3 linked regions of the Neodiprion lecontei genome follow. The protein of the gene in region 2 interacts with the protein of the main gene of each other region in a biochemical or structural test. Links are inferred from orthologs where the notes say so. Each region holds a gene or a part of one and is shown on either strand. Other genes may lie near its edges.

Region 1 (6,383 bases), on a different chromosome or scaffold from region 2:
AAAATTCGAAGTATATTTTATATTTACTGCGGATGCATCGTACTATGTCTGATTAGTTTCACCATAGAATTTCTCATTCCAAGGCTGATTTCGAAATACTGCCACAACGCTATCACTACTACAAATCTACCCGTTACGAAAAATAAATTCCACTTGATTCATCGTTCAATTATAATTATAGATCATTTGGGTGAACCCCGTTTGGACATAAAAAATAATCGAAAGTTATATTGGACACGAGATTTAGTGGACTAGCAACGATTGGACACCAAGATTTATTCGGCACAGCCCCGATTGGACACAGCCTGATCAGACATGGAAAAGAAATGCTGAAGTTTCCACTTCAAATAGAAGAGTCTCTCGTTTTCCACGATAAGTCTGATAATGGGAGTTCACCATTACTTTTCCTCATCTGATAATTTAGGTTCTAATCGAGCATTTGAATACATTTACGAGTATTCAATCTTTGGAGGCCGATGGACCGTTTCCGCAACATCGCTGGTGTTCGATCCGGCTGTGTGAAATAATTCCCGTGTCCAATATAGATTCCGATTATTTTCGGTGTCCAATAATGCTGGTGTCTAAAAGGGCCTTTCTCGATCATTTACGTGAGTTTCGAATAGAACGCGCCGGCTTGGTATGCAATTTTTATTTATAATATAACGTTCAGAATCGCGTGTTACAAAAAATCACGTACATTAAATGCATTATATATATATCTTAATTATCTTATCAAGACACGACTATATATTAGAATAAACTTACGTGGATTGGATTTGATTGTTCAAAATACATATTTCTACGCTACGTTATAAATATATACCGTGTGTGAGCGTGTCTTGTGTGTATATCATATATACTATATTTTCATTTACCTCGATTAGGTAATAAATGGCACAAGAGAAATAGCGAGTAACAAATTATATAAACAATGTATTTTCTATTTAATGACTTTAAAAAAATTCTAACGCTACCATATACTAACTGTTTTCTTTCCTCTACATGTTCAGTAATAAAATATTTGATCGTTACATTAAGTTTATGTATACATATAGTCTGAATGTTCAGATGTTACTTTAAAACTGGAACGGATAATACACTAATAACAAGCATACATTAAATGGTATTTTTTATCACGATATGAAATTCGGCTGCGAGGAAAAATATCTATTTTTAAGTTCAAAAAGGAATATCTCGGTAAATTGAAACCTATGAAACGGAAACTGTAACGAGTCTTAGAAAACCAATATTGAAAAGATGAAAACTAAACATGAAGGTATCACGTTTGCGCAGGTCAGCAACTAATTACTTCGAAAATCAATATAATTATTGATTGACTTTGTGAGTTATTGAACGCTGTATTATATGATGCACTTTTCAGTCTCTTCGCGTACACATTTTCATTAATCTCCCGTTCAAAAGATCAACGAATAATACGAATACGATATTCTCTTTCATTTTTCGTTTATAATTGAATACTTCTAAGTTCTCTATAACGTAAAAAAAATTAAGGTAGTGGTGTCAATTGGCACATTAATGACAGTGCAATAACTAAGGCAACGTTGTTCGGCGATGCCGATCCAGAAATCTAATGATTTCCTGCGTATCAAGCCACCGTATAAGATAATTCTACAGTCTAAGGTTTGTTTATTTAAATAATTTTTTTTCAACGAATTTCGTTGATTCACAAAGTTAAAGGCCTTCGTTACCATTCGCTGATTCCTTACCAATGCAATTCATATTTTCAGTTGACCATAATTACAGTGAATGGCAAAAGATAACTCAATAACCAGCGGGTATATGATAATAATGAATTCAAGTAAATATGACACGTGTTTCTTATCGCTTGATTATATACTTGGGTTAGATTTAATTGAAAGTGGAAAAATATGGTCTCGAATCACCACTGCCGTCCTTTAAACAGTAGGAATGGAGTGATCCATTCCCGATTTCAATAAGCTGCCGGACATTCTGTAAGGAGAAAGAAAATTTTTGTGCAGAATATTGTAGGAAATGAAAAGTTTAAGTAAAAATTGACGTACTTTTTTATCATGTGCTCGTAAATGTAGGAAGGAATAATTGTGATAGTTATGATATCACCACCATTTTCAATTTCAGCACCAATTTCTTTGTCCTTCAACCCAATCACGTTCTGAAAATACATCAAATTTAGTTACAAGTTAGTGCAACTGATTCGATGACCAACTGTGTATGAAAAAAGTAATTCGAAGCATCATATATTACTTTCAACAAAGCTTCTCAAAGTTTACCTTGCCATTAACTTCAAGCAGTTGATGGTCAGTCAATAGCCCATTTCTAGCAGCTGAAGAGTCCTTCACCAATGTAGTGATTTTTCCATTTTTGAATTGGAAGCCGATATGGCCAACGCTGTCCTTGTGCAATGTGATTGTCCTTTCAAATGGCCTAAAATAACAGATTAAATTTATTTCAAACTAATTCTGGCTGGAAAAATACAAATAGGTTGAAAAATGAGCATGTTACCTGTCTCTAACTATGACTTTGATACCATTATTGGGAGCTTTGCGCAACAGTTTATGCGCCTGATCCATGGAGTAACCAGCCACAGTGACTCCGTTTATTTCCAATACTTGATCGCCAAAACGTAGACCTGCCATAGATGCCGGAGAGTTTGGACTCACGAGGCAAACAAACACTCCGTTATTCACAGAGTGTACTCTCATGCCGATTTTCCCATCTTTGTCCTTGCACAGAGTCAGCTGCGAGAAAACATACAACCAAGTTGATTACATTATTGTATGTTTTTTGGTTGGTCTGAATACCAGAAGTTTAATTAGTAATGAAAGTAATCGATATACCTCTCGAATGCCATTGGTGACGTGTGCTCTCTGCAGACCCAAAGAATTTCCGGACAGGGGAGCAATCATACCAGATAAGCTTCCAGTTGATGGAGCTTGCGGTGCCAAGGCAGTCTGTAAAAAAATAAAAAGTTAGTTTAAAGCTAATTGCTGCTCATGCAATTCAGGCAGGAACTTACAAAGGATTAAAATAAAATTGACACAATATATCGCAAATTTCTAAACTCTTACAAATTTCATATGATAACAGAGAAATTTGATGTCATTTAAAAACATTTTCTGGTATTGTACAAGCTTGCTTATACCAAATTAATTTTTGTGAATTTATTTTTGTCGAATAATCAAGTATCTCGGTAAGAATCTCGCTTTAAAAAAAACTTGAAGCATAAAAAGTTTGAATTGCATACCGACTGTCGATTGACAACTGCATACTCAGGCATATTGGCAGCTATCACATCTTCACTAAGTTCTAATCCCATATAATCGCCAAGAGCTGGATAAAGAATGTGATGCTCCGGAGCTGAAGGACAACTAGCTGCCTGTGGGAGAGGATTTTGTGGCACCTGAGGCGGATGCGGAATGTAATGTTGATCCGCTAGAAGTTGAGCCTAGAGACAGAGAGATGGAGGAGTCAGTCGGTCTAGGTAGGATGGGTAGAAGTTACATAGAAGTATTGATTACCAAAGACACATGAATTATTACAAGGCATGGAAAAGAGACTATACACAGTATGTGACATATTGAGGAGGTACAGGGTGCATTCACCTACCTTGATCATGTGATCAACCTTCATATCCTCCAGGGACGGATACAGCGACATTTTGCTTTTAAGGTTCACTCTGTAATTAGTAAAATATAACTCTCTTAGTTAGTGCTTTATCAGATGTGGTATTGTCACGTACTTGCCTACAAAGCTTATCGCTATGACTCAGATAAAAAAGTTCGATAGTGTTGCTAACAGTATTGTACATAAAATTTGGATAGTGTTAATATTATTTTTGCCTATAGAATTAGAGAACAAAACTGCGTTTCAGAGCATAATTAAACATAAAAATTTCTATCGATTGTTCTGTTTGAGTGGAGCAAAGTGGTGAAACTTCAGATCAGAAATGTATAGAGAAAAGATAAAATACGTATGAACTACAGTGAGATTTTTTTTATAAAGGAGGAAATTCTGCTTCTCAGATGACTCGCACTATCGATTGCTGACCGAGAACAAAGTTCTTGTCTGAATGTAAAGTAGTACTGTGCGAAGAAAAATGTTAAGCTTGTCGAAGTCTCTTATCTCACTCTACATGCTTTCGGCTTAATCACGTTATACGTAGTTTATTTACTGTACAGAAATAAGATTCGTTCGGTCATAAAAACCGATACCTCAGTTTCAACTTTCTCAATAATTCGGTATTCTTCAAGAATTATTTGGAGGAAAGAAGGAGGAAATGACGATAAATGATTTCCTTAGAAATACCGTTGACAAAAATGTAGAGCAGAAGCTTAGGATAAATTTTAAACACATAATAAACACGTAGGTGGTTGTGCAGCCTGCGGTTTCAAACGCTTTATACTTTCATTGATCCTAATTCAAAGGTTAAGCGAAGGTCGGGAAAGAGACCATGCAGCGAGGAATATCTCGTAGTGTTACAGATATTAGATTCTCTTTGTCAAAGGCGTTCCAGGAACAGTAAACGTTGTTCAACTCACATGCGTGATCTGCAACGAAACGTGGACGAGCCCTGATTCTTCCTTTCTTCTATAAATATCGCACTTTAATTCACAGAGTCACACCCTCGCGGCACGGAAAGCAAAGTTTCAACGGTTTCAACTAACCGCCTTGCTCTGAATGTCGGAATGTGGTCGAGAATATGCCGCACGATACAAAAGCAGACTATCGAATAAAGAACTCTGAGCGCACTGCCAAACCCTATCACTTGTCACGCTTGTCTCACGCACAACGGGCTTTATTACGCTTTTTTACTATTCCCATTTCCCGCCATCCGAGCATTCTGACTGGTTTGCAAAGTTTAGTCAACCAGTGAGAATGCTTGGATGGCGGGAAATATGAAAAGTAGAGGCAGTACGTGTACGCATTCGAATAACGTCAAGCGAATCGTGCAACGTGCTGCCCTCAGGCGGTGAAACTTCGTTCTAGGAAGTGGAAAAACACGACACTCACTTTTGGGAATTCCCTGATCGATTCATCCGAACACCGGTTTCGCAACTTCCTTGTTCCCTTCTTTACACGATAGAACCGGAGCTCTATTTGTACTTATTGACGATTAAAATAAAATGTTAAAAGTTCAGGAGAGGATATTTTGCTACCGACCAACGTATGAAATTTTGTTCTTTTTCACCGGCTTGTACTCCGTATTCCGGTATTACGAATTCCTCTCGAGGTTATTAACACCGATGCACTTATTACCGTTGCAATATGACGTAGTTGCAGCGCGTGGGTGGATCGTTAATGATAAAATGTGAGAAAAGGGGCAACAGTTACCGGCTCGAACGTACAGTTGTAAACGTTTTGAAGTCGCAGAATTTGGAAATTATAGTTTATATATGTTATAACAAGAAGCGGTTACGAAAAGTGATTTAAGATTAAGATATTAATTCAGTATTATATGTTTTATGAAATTTCCAGTGTCATTGGATGGATAAAAGCAAATCTCAAGAATCGATAAGTCGGTATTTCTGTACTACTTGCTACATCATCGCGTCGCGGTATCAGAATAATAATATGAATGTTTGTACGCAGCTTGCGCGTTGAATTCAAATAGTCGTTATTACGTGTTATTGTTTCATTTGTTATTTATTCATTGATCAAAGAATAAGTATAAACTATCAACATAGCGTAGATAACGTATATAGTAAACAGATATGAATATTTACAGCCTATGTCTTTCAGAATTCCCGCACCAAGAGTACTCGATCAGCCAGCTTTCGGCAAATTTTACTACTTCATACACTTCACGAAATACAGGGAAAATTCTATTCAATACAATTCAGCACGAGTTCAGTAGGAATATTACAAGTATAGAAATGATGGAGTTATGTGCTTTGTGATAATCCGAAGAAATGGAATCTACAAAAAGAAAACAACGATGTAATATTTGTATTTCAGAAATAGAATTTGTATGCTAATCAGTGTCTCCAAACCCGTGACCTTTACTAATACGTATGTGATGTGAAGATTTGCCGAAGATGGAGATTAGACTCTTATAATGATAGTTATATAATTATACAATAATTGAGTGACCTGCACTTGTAAATATAAATTTTGCCTAACAATTCCTTCATTAAAAACATGTTTCAAATCCATAATATTCGTCATTCAGGCGTGACTACGTATAATCACGAATCGACGGATCAATGGTTTACATTAAAAGGACCTGTTTCAAATTCGAAGAGTCGACAGCGACTTCGCTCGACGCATATACACGTTTTTAATTTGAATCCATTCTTTATCAACGTGGACCAGATTTTCCATTTATTGCTTCTCTACGACGTTGGGTTCTCTAACTAGTCTATTACACCAGGATACAGGCAAAA
Region 2 (5,134 bases):
TTCCTGGATGTCAAAATCCACCGGGTGGAGGACCTGGACAGCCAGAACTACGAAAATTAGTCCTGAAGGTTAAAAATCACCAGGTCAAGGACCTGGGCGGCCAGAACTACGGAGCGCTTGTTCTGGAAGTCAAGTTTCACCGGATAGCGGACCCGCAGCGCAGGGTCCAGGAGGTAGAGAGAGAATCCGGTACTCGAAATCTGCCGAGCGCGATTCTCATCCGTCCGCTTTACTGCGCGATTGTTTCGAGACTGAGGAATTCGGCTAGCTGATTTTCGTCGTTACGATTACTATAGATGGATGACGTCGAGAGAAAAAAAAATTTTGGATGACGTCACTTTCTGAACATCCGAACATCCAAACTATGGTTTTCAACTTTAATACTATGTATGATGTATGATGTGTGATGTTCACTCGTTTGCAAGAGCACTTCTCGACCCTTTTGTATAATCATTTGTGTTCTTTAACTCATGTTCGCTCACCCACCTGGAACATTTTCTGATAGTCAAAATTTATAAAATTCGGAGGCACTTTTCCACATGAACGAATTGCAAACAGATTATCAACTTTTTGTCCTATTTCTAGTCAAGTATTTTGCTTTATTATTATAGTCTGCATAAAAAGTACCGTTCTGTGCGATTGCAAATTCAAGGTTTTCAATAATACCCACTATAAATATTTTTTCTTAAATTCCCCGATTTTCCCTCACCAAATTATGAATTTCTCTTGGGTAAAATTCCAACTAGTAGTACGAATTGGAGTATCGAATAAATAAAACTCCGAACTAATCAGTTGTCAAAAATCCGTGTATCCATATATTTAAGGGTCATGAAAATGAGCACGTGAGGGAAAATATTTTTCTTGTCTAGTCTCTACTTTTCTATCATGCCACTATAAAATTCCCTCACTAATTACAAAATGTTTTGTCCTTTCCATAAATTGCCTGACCACTTTGCGATTCCGTGTTTTTCTAATTAGTCAGAAGCTACAGCAACACCATAACTGAGGTAAAAATCATGATTGGAATGTAATATGTTCTGAAAAATGGATTATGCAACGATGCATTCTTGTATACGCGCGTTTCCGAACGCTTATGTAGCTGGCTGGAAATATATTCCTTGACGGCAGTCAAGTAGAAAACTTCCCTTTAATAGAATAACGAAATTCTTTAATATTTACGGAAGTTACCGCAATTTTCTGGCGAGTCTAATCTGGTCTGATACAACCGTCATTTATTTATTTTATAACCCATAACGTTTTCGTAACATTTTTTCTCCCATGGTGAAAAAGTAATAGAAACAAAACCATCTTTCATTGGTACGCAAATATACAAACTACTAATACAAATACAAACTAAGAATGGGTTATTTTACGGGGTTTAAGTGTATAAAGTTAAAATATCGAAGCATAGCAAACTAACAACTACGTCTCACAAAATATAAGTGACAGGCTTTGCTTAGTCAAATTCCTAATTTCAAGCTTCGTTTACAGTTGACTGCATCAAAGAGGCGATTAACATGAAAAATTTTCCTCAAGTCAACGTTACGAATTTAAACCTCGTAATGAAATGTGTGAAAAAATATAAAATTCACTTTTATTCGTTTCTTTGAACATCGCGGTTAAAAACGTCGAGTTTTTTGTTGTGCCATATTGCAATTTGCACGTTCAGATATGGAACATATTTTCGGTTTTGATAAAACGCTACCGTTCACACTGTGAGAAAAATAACGGTGTCAATATAAGTCCACACTGATTAGTGTAAAATTAAACATCATCGATGTAAATCGTTCGATTCTGGTCACCAAGTGGTTTTAAAATCAACACTAAAATGGTGTGAACTTCTATAGAATATTTTCGTTGTTACATATAACACCGCATTTCTAACAGTGCATCAACAGAGTTCGTGCAAAAAGCAGTTTACAAAATTCATCGCTTTCCACATTATATGTAATTTAAAATAGTTAAATACAAAACCCATCGTTTGTACAGTCCATAAACAGCCTTAAGTGAGATATAAAAAGATTTGTAATTTGTCGAGTAAATATGAATGATTTAGCGCAAGCATTTCCCAGAAATCATTTTCCGTCGCGGTAATGTAGCTTCGATATGAAAAAGTAAGAAAGAAACTAGGATTACCGGGTATTCAGATTTGAAATGCGACTTTTGTAATCAAGCTCCCTGACTTTCTTGACCTTCCTCCTGGTTTTCCAGATTGCAAACATCTCTCCCCGGTGTTTCATTGACGCGATTGTTTACATCTCGACGCGCGTTGCCTCGTTCCTTATTCGTTTGTTTTTACAATCGAGCATATATTATCATTTAACCATGGCCTTTCGCTATCGTTGTTATCAATTTCTGCCGGTTTTCAATCACGGGGACGTAGACCAGGATTGTATTGAATTAAATCGACTCTGCTTACGCGATGTAATATCCCGTCATCGGGTCTGGAAATATTCTTTACCAGGGCATCAGAGGGCACGAGGGGGTTGGCGGGGAGGTTCGTCGCTCCGCTTATAGGACGCGTCCGTCACACATGGTTCTCCGTTCTCGCGGAGATTTCCTAGAGCCACATCCGTATATAAGCGATGCATTTTCCCCCGTAACGCGAGGGTCGGTCAATTGATCGCGTCGTCTGCCGCGTTAGCCAGTTTTCGAACTGCTCGTAGGGATGAAAGGTGTCGAAAAAATATTCAACGAACACGGACGAGCGAGGTAAGCTTCGCAGGTATTATTCGTGATGAAAAATGAATCGAAATGCTTCGAGTGGAATGACTCGGGATGCGAGAGACTAGACGGGGTGAGGACCGAGGGAAAATGAAAAGTGACAGACGTTCACTTACCTCTGATGCAGCAGCGTTGCATCCCGATAAAATAACGCCTCCGAACGCCAGAAACAGGTATATCCTTGGGTGCATTTTTGTTTATTCCTTCGCGAGGGAGGGGGAGGGCCCTGGACTGAGCCCGAGAGTTTCACTTTGTTTCGTTAAATACAAAACTAATCAAATACAACCGAAAAACCACCAAAACTCGAGAGCAACAATGCGAACACACCACACTGATCAATGAATCCTACGACACTGAGGGCGCGACGGTCGTCCCCGCTTCTTCTGTATTTCGCGCCATCTTGCCACCGGTAGTGCCACCTGTGCGGATTTACGGCGAAGCTCTCGTGTCGGCAGAAGTTCGATCGATGCGTGACTATGATAGGGTAGGTCCGTGGCGATATTATGACAAACCCCTATAACGTTAGCAGATTATTTATCAGATGCGTCGTTGACTGAGGCTAATATTATTCGACTCGTATTGTCGAGATTTGAACTTGGGTTACAGTCATTTTCAACTGATATTCATCACTGTTAACACCTTAACAGGGATAAGAAGTTTCAGTTGTTTTTCGAAATGAATTTATATTTTTTTTACTTTGCACAGAATAGCCGCGTATTCAACGATCATTTTTATTTTGTACGCTCGTAAAGTTACGCGAGTGTACTTTGAAGTAAAATAGTTCAAAACGGTATTGCATATCTGCCTGACAATGATTTTTGAACTGCATTTTTACAGTATTTAGGCTACCGAAGCAATATCGTACAAAATGAAAGAAAGTCAAACAAGTGGAATTCCCATTTTTATAACGTGACAATGTGATAAAACCTCAGATACAGATAGTATTATACTAGCAATTGGAACTTACAAAACCAAAAATATTAGAAATAGAAAAGAATTGCATCGTTGAATTAGTTCAGTTAAAGCTGGGAGCTAGTATGCTAAGTGTGCAATAGCTCAAAGCTTAATTACAACATAGTTTTGGATGATGAAATATGAGTTCGTACAACTTTTTTAACTATGAAAAGCTGTATACTTTATTTCTACATAATATTTAAAGATTTAATAGTTTAAAAAAAAAAAATTCCATTCAAGATGTCATTGACTATCATTGACATTAAAAATACAATGATTTAATTTGATGTATGGCGGTTCAGCTATTCGTCAAATCCTGCATACATTTTTACTTCTCCATCTTTCCAATTCGAGCCTTGTGGCGCTCTATGGCCTCCTGATGACGCTTTATCTGTTCCTCGTGAAAAGAGATCTCATCATGAAGACCGTCACGCAGATTTTTCAACTGCTCCTTTTGCTAGAACAGAAAAAGAAAATTCAGTGACTGCATATTAAAGTGCGTGAGAATTATCCTATGGAATACAAATATGACGCAACCTCTTATGTTGGCTATTGAAATTTAACTTTTTGATCTTGGTAATTACTCACATATATCTTGTGAAAATGAATTTTGTAACATTTATACAATGTTGCAATTATAAAAAGTCTGCTTACTGCCCAATTTTGGGATTATATAACATTTGGTGAGGCATAATAAGGAAAAACACATTCACGGTTTGCAAACTCAACTCTTTCAAATTAATACGAGAGTTGAAATATATAAATTTTTTGTTTGATCTGTCGTTACGTCAACATTACTGATTTCAACTTCGTTATTTGGTTTTGCCATTCCAAAAGTTCAAGTCATTCAGTAAATTATTTGAGACAGCTTCGAAGTATCTTTGCTAACATAATTCAGCAATAGTAAAATATATATTTTTTCTATTCATTCCAAGCAGTGTCTCCATGGAAACAATCAACATATCTATCAGTCAATTTTGCAACAATTGCATAAACTAATTGTTGAAACATAATGACAAAGTTGAGAAAAAAAATTTTCCTCAGTTAATAGGAGTATCATGAAATATATCTTAAAAAGTCATTAATTTTATAAAATCAAACATTGATAGTGACATATAAGGTTGAAGATCACCACATCAACGTTAAGAATAATTTTTATTTTTTTTTAGGAAGAGCTGTTATTTTTTCATTTTACGTTCTTTGCTTGTAAGAAAATGTAACAAATAAAAGAATATGTTCACTTTTTGCAATCTTATTTCTTTTATAATCATTTCAAGGTTACAAAACTCTGAATTTATTTCAACTTGACAAACTCCTACTAACTTTTCATTTCTCAAGTTAATGAAGAATAGTGTTGAGGACTGCTTAAACACCTATCCTATCCTATGCTAGCGTTATACCTGATTGTAGAAGTATTGGTCTTCGCGTGCTGCTTCCATCTTGCCAAAACTTCCAC
Region 3 (4,650 bases), on a different chromosome or scaffold from region 2:
ATACCTAATTTATATTGTCAAGATATTTCTGTCCGAATTGATAAAAGGAATGTTTATGCTTTCACAGCTTTGCAGATCATTTCTCGCTCTCTATCTAAAGCTAGACGAAAGCAACGTTCATTCGAGTCTGGTTGATTCATGGGATAGAGCAGGGTAAGGTTCTGATAATAATTAACCTGTTTGTATGCTAACGAGTGAACAGTTTCAAGTTTTGTAACAACATACAACGACAGAACAATTTGGTATTGCCAGTATGTATGATACATAATACGTATGATTGAAATCCCTCAAATAAAAAAACTATGCTTATAACCTGATATTATTTTTGTTCCCATTTAAATTCCTATTTATCAATACTCAAATATGGTGTTCCTTGCATTCAAATAGTTGAATATCACCTGTTTTTATCACACTAGCAGCGCTTCTATCGATTCACAGTAACTGAAGTCATGCCTGTTCTATCAGATCTCTTAAGCGATATTGAGGGGTTATTATATGTTTTATTTTCATTCTAGACAGAAGATAACAGTGTTGAAAGGGTATAATCACAAACACCTCGTATACCTGGCAAAGAAAGTACGTCATGTAGCTGTTGAATCAAACACTTTATACAGAACAACTGGTCAGGCCAGAGTAATGCTGGTACTAACAGCGTTTGGCCGAGAGGAAGATATGGAAGAAGCATTTGACGATCTGTGTTACTTACATTGACGTCCATGTAAACAACTTGATTTGTCGGCATAGATGTAGCGGGCAACTTCACTGCCACAACGTGACATATCTCTTTGACCGTGTGTGGCTTATACTGTGTGTCAAGTCATTAGAAGCTATGTTACTTATTTAAAGAGCCTCAAAGTCGTTTTGGACAGAAATTCAAGTCTAACAAATATTTTGAATAAATAATAACGAATCAATACAGGGTTGCACATATCACGGTTTATAAATTCGTCTCTGTTTTTGTTTTTCCTAGTTTTTCTTACCGCAACGTAAACGCAACAGCTGAAGTATATCTTGTTCTAACACTAGTCTTTCAAGCATTACGAATTCACAGCAGCGAATCCGTATACGTACCTAACCATTTGTCGCTCAAGTAGAGCTAAGTAACTAATTTTAATATTATCAAGTTGTTGTCAAATATGCGTACTTATACTTATGCATAGACGGTATCACGTACAGAGTCGGGAGCTTTTCTACGCTTGTTTGCATCGTTGATGGGAAAATATTGTCAATTAACACGTATGCGGTGTTTGACATATTCCGCGATGAATTTTGAATTCGTCCGTGATACGAGCAGGGCTCACCGTGGGTCGAGAAGGCAGTGAGACACGCCCCACCACGTCGATTTTGTCGGCAGTCCGCTTGCGCGCGCTCCGCGCGTTGCGTAGACGACGGCAGGCGCCCAGGTTTCGGTGCCGAAACGTCGCGCAGCCGCCCTGCGCCCGCCGTGTTTTATGCAACCAGTTTTGCGTCGGAGCAACGGGTTGGTTGGTGTGGTTGGGTGTCGAGCGCTGCAGCGTTCGGCGGAGAGCAGCGGGGTTGTCAGAAAGGCGTGTGCTATCTGTCACGGTCCTAGTAGCAAGTAGGATTGCTGTCAAAACGTCAGTGAATGGAGGCGCGTGTCCTCCGGCCATTTTCGTAGTTTCAAAACCGCCTGACAAAAGTGTGAATTCCGCATTGTGCTAAAAGGCGGTGTTTGCGTGTGCGCTCTCGCTGCGTTTTGCCCCCTTGTGCTCTCCGTGCCGAGGGTGGAAAAATAGGTTGGTGTACGTGATAAGTGACAGTGAAACGAAGTAACGGACGAACGAACGAACAAACGGCTCGCGCCGAACGACCAGCCTACGATCGCTGCCAACTACCGTAGGACCAGACTCCGCGAGGAGGCGAGGCGAGGCGAGGCGAACGCCGTGGGCCACTGCCCCCTCCTCCCCCCCCCCATTCTGCTACTACCACGCCGTGTTGAACGGAGGCAGCGGGCTTGTCGGCCGGCATAGACGAAGTCATGGCAGAGGATGAGGTCTTGTTCGACGATGTTTACGAGCTCTGTGAGATTATCGGAAAGTGAGTAAACTCGGGACTCTTGATTCTCATCGGAACGAATAGAGAATATTCTACTCCCTCACATTAACCTAGTAACGGTCAACGGTTCGAATGTTTGTCCGCTGACACACTGCGAGCGTTTTCGTGTCCACGATTGTATTTTGTTTTTCAACTTTTCAGGTGTTTACTACACTCTTTACCCGCCGAACGAATTTCGGTCGGTATTCGAATGCGATACCGAAATTTCGAATAGGCACACTTCTATTATCATTGTTTATAATTTTGTCACACTTGAACCTAACCTGATTGACGGGCGTTTCGTCAGCGTGATCTCACATTTCCAGGTATACGTGTCGACGACGCACACACGGGTGTTTACCTACTCTTCGAAATGCTTATTACGGGAGTATGTGTGGATAGCCTGACTTATATCAGGTGTAGTTGGCCATCTTGTGTTTACTTCAGCCCGCCAAATTCAATTATCCGTTATCAAGACTAGTTTATTTTCTCTCTATCACCGTCAACTTCAAAGTGGAAACGATAACCTCAGTCTTCTATTTTCCAACGACATTTTAACGAGCAGTTGGAATTTGCTCGTTTTAAACTTGGTACTATAAATTCCAGGTTCACTGATCGTCTCCTTTGCATGTTACACAGGTGAAATTTGTCCGGAACTATGTAAGCGCGCGTCAGGGTTTCGATCTAGCGTATTATCTTCAACTTCTATTTCATTCTTTGAAAATTAGCATAGGCAGATTATTTCATGCATATAGACATACCTAGTCCACAGTACCTTTATTCACGTACATAGGTATATTATTATACATACACGGACTCATATGCTTGCATGTATGTATCAGGTCGGGAGACGGGAATGTGTTTGATATCGATTATTTTGTCCCGAAATATATCCACCGAACAGGAAAGGGGAAACGAATATGAAAAACTTTTGTATTACCACATATGCCAGTCCTTGGGTTTTACCGTTTCCGAGTCAAAGTTCAACCATAAAGTTTTCTACAGATTAAAGCCCAAGCATAATGTTTTAGACGAGTATCAGGCAACACGTGACGGACGAACAAAATGTTATACACCAACGATTGCCAGGAAAGTAAACTGTGACGGACCTTTTACTCTTCTTACCTGAACGTCACAGCGTTAAAATGCGCCACGAAAAAGTTAACAGTCCTTGACGTGAGTTGACAGTTGAATTTATGGTACGACCGTCGAGTTGAGCTTACTCTGGGTCTTTGTTGGTCTACATTGGACTCTTATTCAAACAATCCTGTGAACAATTCTTAATCTCCCAAACTAGATTGAGCTGTGGCGCTGTGGATGCACTCTCTAAATATGAATTAGTTATAAGTATACCACTGGAGAAAATCATTGTGCATACACTGGAAGTCAATGACACATTATCAGGCTGAAATTGGTGACGTAACAAAACCTTAGGCTAACAAGTCGACATTATCGGGCAATTTAAAAATGACTTTCAAGGAGTTGGCTATTCAAAATTAAAGTATATTTTGTTTGTAATAGTTTACTAAGTCTCAGGCATTCTTAAAAATGCGGATTAGCGATTTTTCTTGAACATGCATCATTACAGTAACGTTAATAACTTCACCCTGTGAAGTATTAGTAAAAACTCACTGAATCGTCAGTGCATATGTACTGATTTTTTCCAGTCGTATACTTATGATTGGGAATCAGCGAATTTTCACTGATTCAAATCCAGAGAGTGGGCTCGGCAGAACTACACTCACGAGCAGGTATAAGGGTTTTATTATCGAAAGAAATTTGTGCACTACGCAGTAGTATCTGTATTACTTCATAAATCTTTTAAGCATTTTATGATTTAATGACAGAGAATATTCGTCGTGTGCGTTGAAACTGTACGACCGTTGCATGTGAGTTACATGAATACTTGAATGGTTCGAGTCAATTTGCTGTTCGTCAATTGAAACTAACCTTTAGCTGGTCATACCTAACATACCTTGCGGTCATTTGTGACGTAAAGGTTTGTAATCTTTAGCTGGCACATTTATCTGGTCTAACATTGCTGGTACCTTGGGTCGACTGTAAAATTTAAAATTATTCTTGGGATCTTTTTTATCTTGTAAAAGACACTTAGGTGAATACTCAAAAAAAATAAAGTTCACATATTAAGTTGCTTCATTACAGCAATCAATTTTCGATCGGAGTCTTCAATGACCCCAAGGTGCCAGCAATGTTATACCAGATAAAGGTGTCAGCTAAAGATTGAGTGAACACACGTTAGATATGCAGATCCAGTTAGACGCAATCGACGAACGTTTCTTTATACTTGGTCTATTTTTTTTTGTTCTCCTTAGAACGGTTCGTTCCATCGATCGGTAATGCGGTTCAGAGTCTAATGATAAGTCAACCAATTTGATCTTCAACCTTCGGTATAACTGGGTACCTACAATTATATATTTGATCATATTAATACATTGCTCGGCTTACTTTATTCCTCCCACTCAGGGCTGTCCTACACTTTTGCGGTTTAGTTGTTCAAATCCATTTTTTTCGTCTCGAAAATTATAAATATAAAATATTTTATGAATTTATTTGATGTTTTAACAAGTTTTCATT

Evidence for each region.
Region 1: the proteins of syndecan (region 2) and syntenin-1 form a complex in vitro, tested with the Homo sapiens proteins (3 studies listed by BioGRID and IntAct, with this or other methods). The link is inferred for Neodiprion lecontei from reciprocal best matches to the Homo sapiens genes SDC2 and SDCBP.
Region 3: the proteins of syndecan (region 2) and peripheral plasma membrane protein CASK form a complex in vitro, tested with the Homo sapiens proteins (2 studies listed by BioGRID and IntAct, with this or other methods). The link is inferred for Neodiprion lecontei from reciprocal best matches to the Homo sapiens genes SDC2 and CASK.

The regions. Positions count from the first base shown.
Region 1 is NC_060261.1:38,852,991-38,859,373, forward strand, and holds syntenin-1, read right to left. Parts: upstream 4,821-6,383; 5' UTR 4,603-4,820; exon of another isoform or gene 4,539-4,602; intron 3,677-4,538; 5' UTR 3,658-3,676; coding exon 3,607-3,657; intron 3,446-3,606; coding exon 3,245-3,445; intron 2,952-3,244; coding exon 2,838-2,951; intron 2,739-2,837; coding exon 2,503-2,738; intron 2,425-2,502; coding exon 2,271-2,424; intron 2,153-2,270; coding exon 2,043-2,152; intron 1,972-2,042; coding exon 1,917-1,971; 3' UTR 639-1,916; downstream 1-638. UniProt on the Homo sapiens protein: Multifunctional adapter protein involved in diverse array of functions including trafficking of transmembrane proteins, neuro and immunomodulation, exosome biogenesis, and tumorigenesis.
Region 2 is NC_060263.1:25,408,286-25,413,419, reverse strand, and holds the start of syndecan, read right to left. Parts: upstream 3,085-5,134; 5' UTR 2,916-3,084; coding exon 2,841-2,915; intron 1-2,840. Other genes in the region: ATPase inhibitor mai-2, mitochondrial-like, read right to left, coding at 4,007-4,135, 5,079-5,134. UniProt on the Homo sapiens protein: Cell surface proteoglycan which regulates dendritic arbor morphogenesis.
Region 3 is NC_060262.1:31,567,032-31,571,681, forward strand, and holds the start of peripheral plasma membrane protein CASK, read left to right. Parts: upstream 1-1,530; 5' UTR 1,531-1,999; coding exon 2,000-2,058; intron 2,059-4,650. Other genes in the region: uncharacterized protein LOC107218162, read left to right, coding at 68-153, 516-711. UniProt on the Homo sapiens protein: Multidomain scaffolding Mg(2+)-independent protein kinase that catalyzes the phosphotransfer from ATP to proteins such as NRXN1, and plays a role in synaptic transmembrane protein anchoring and ion channel trafficking.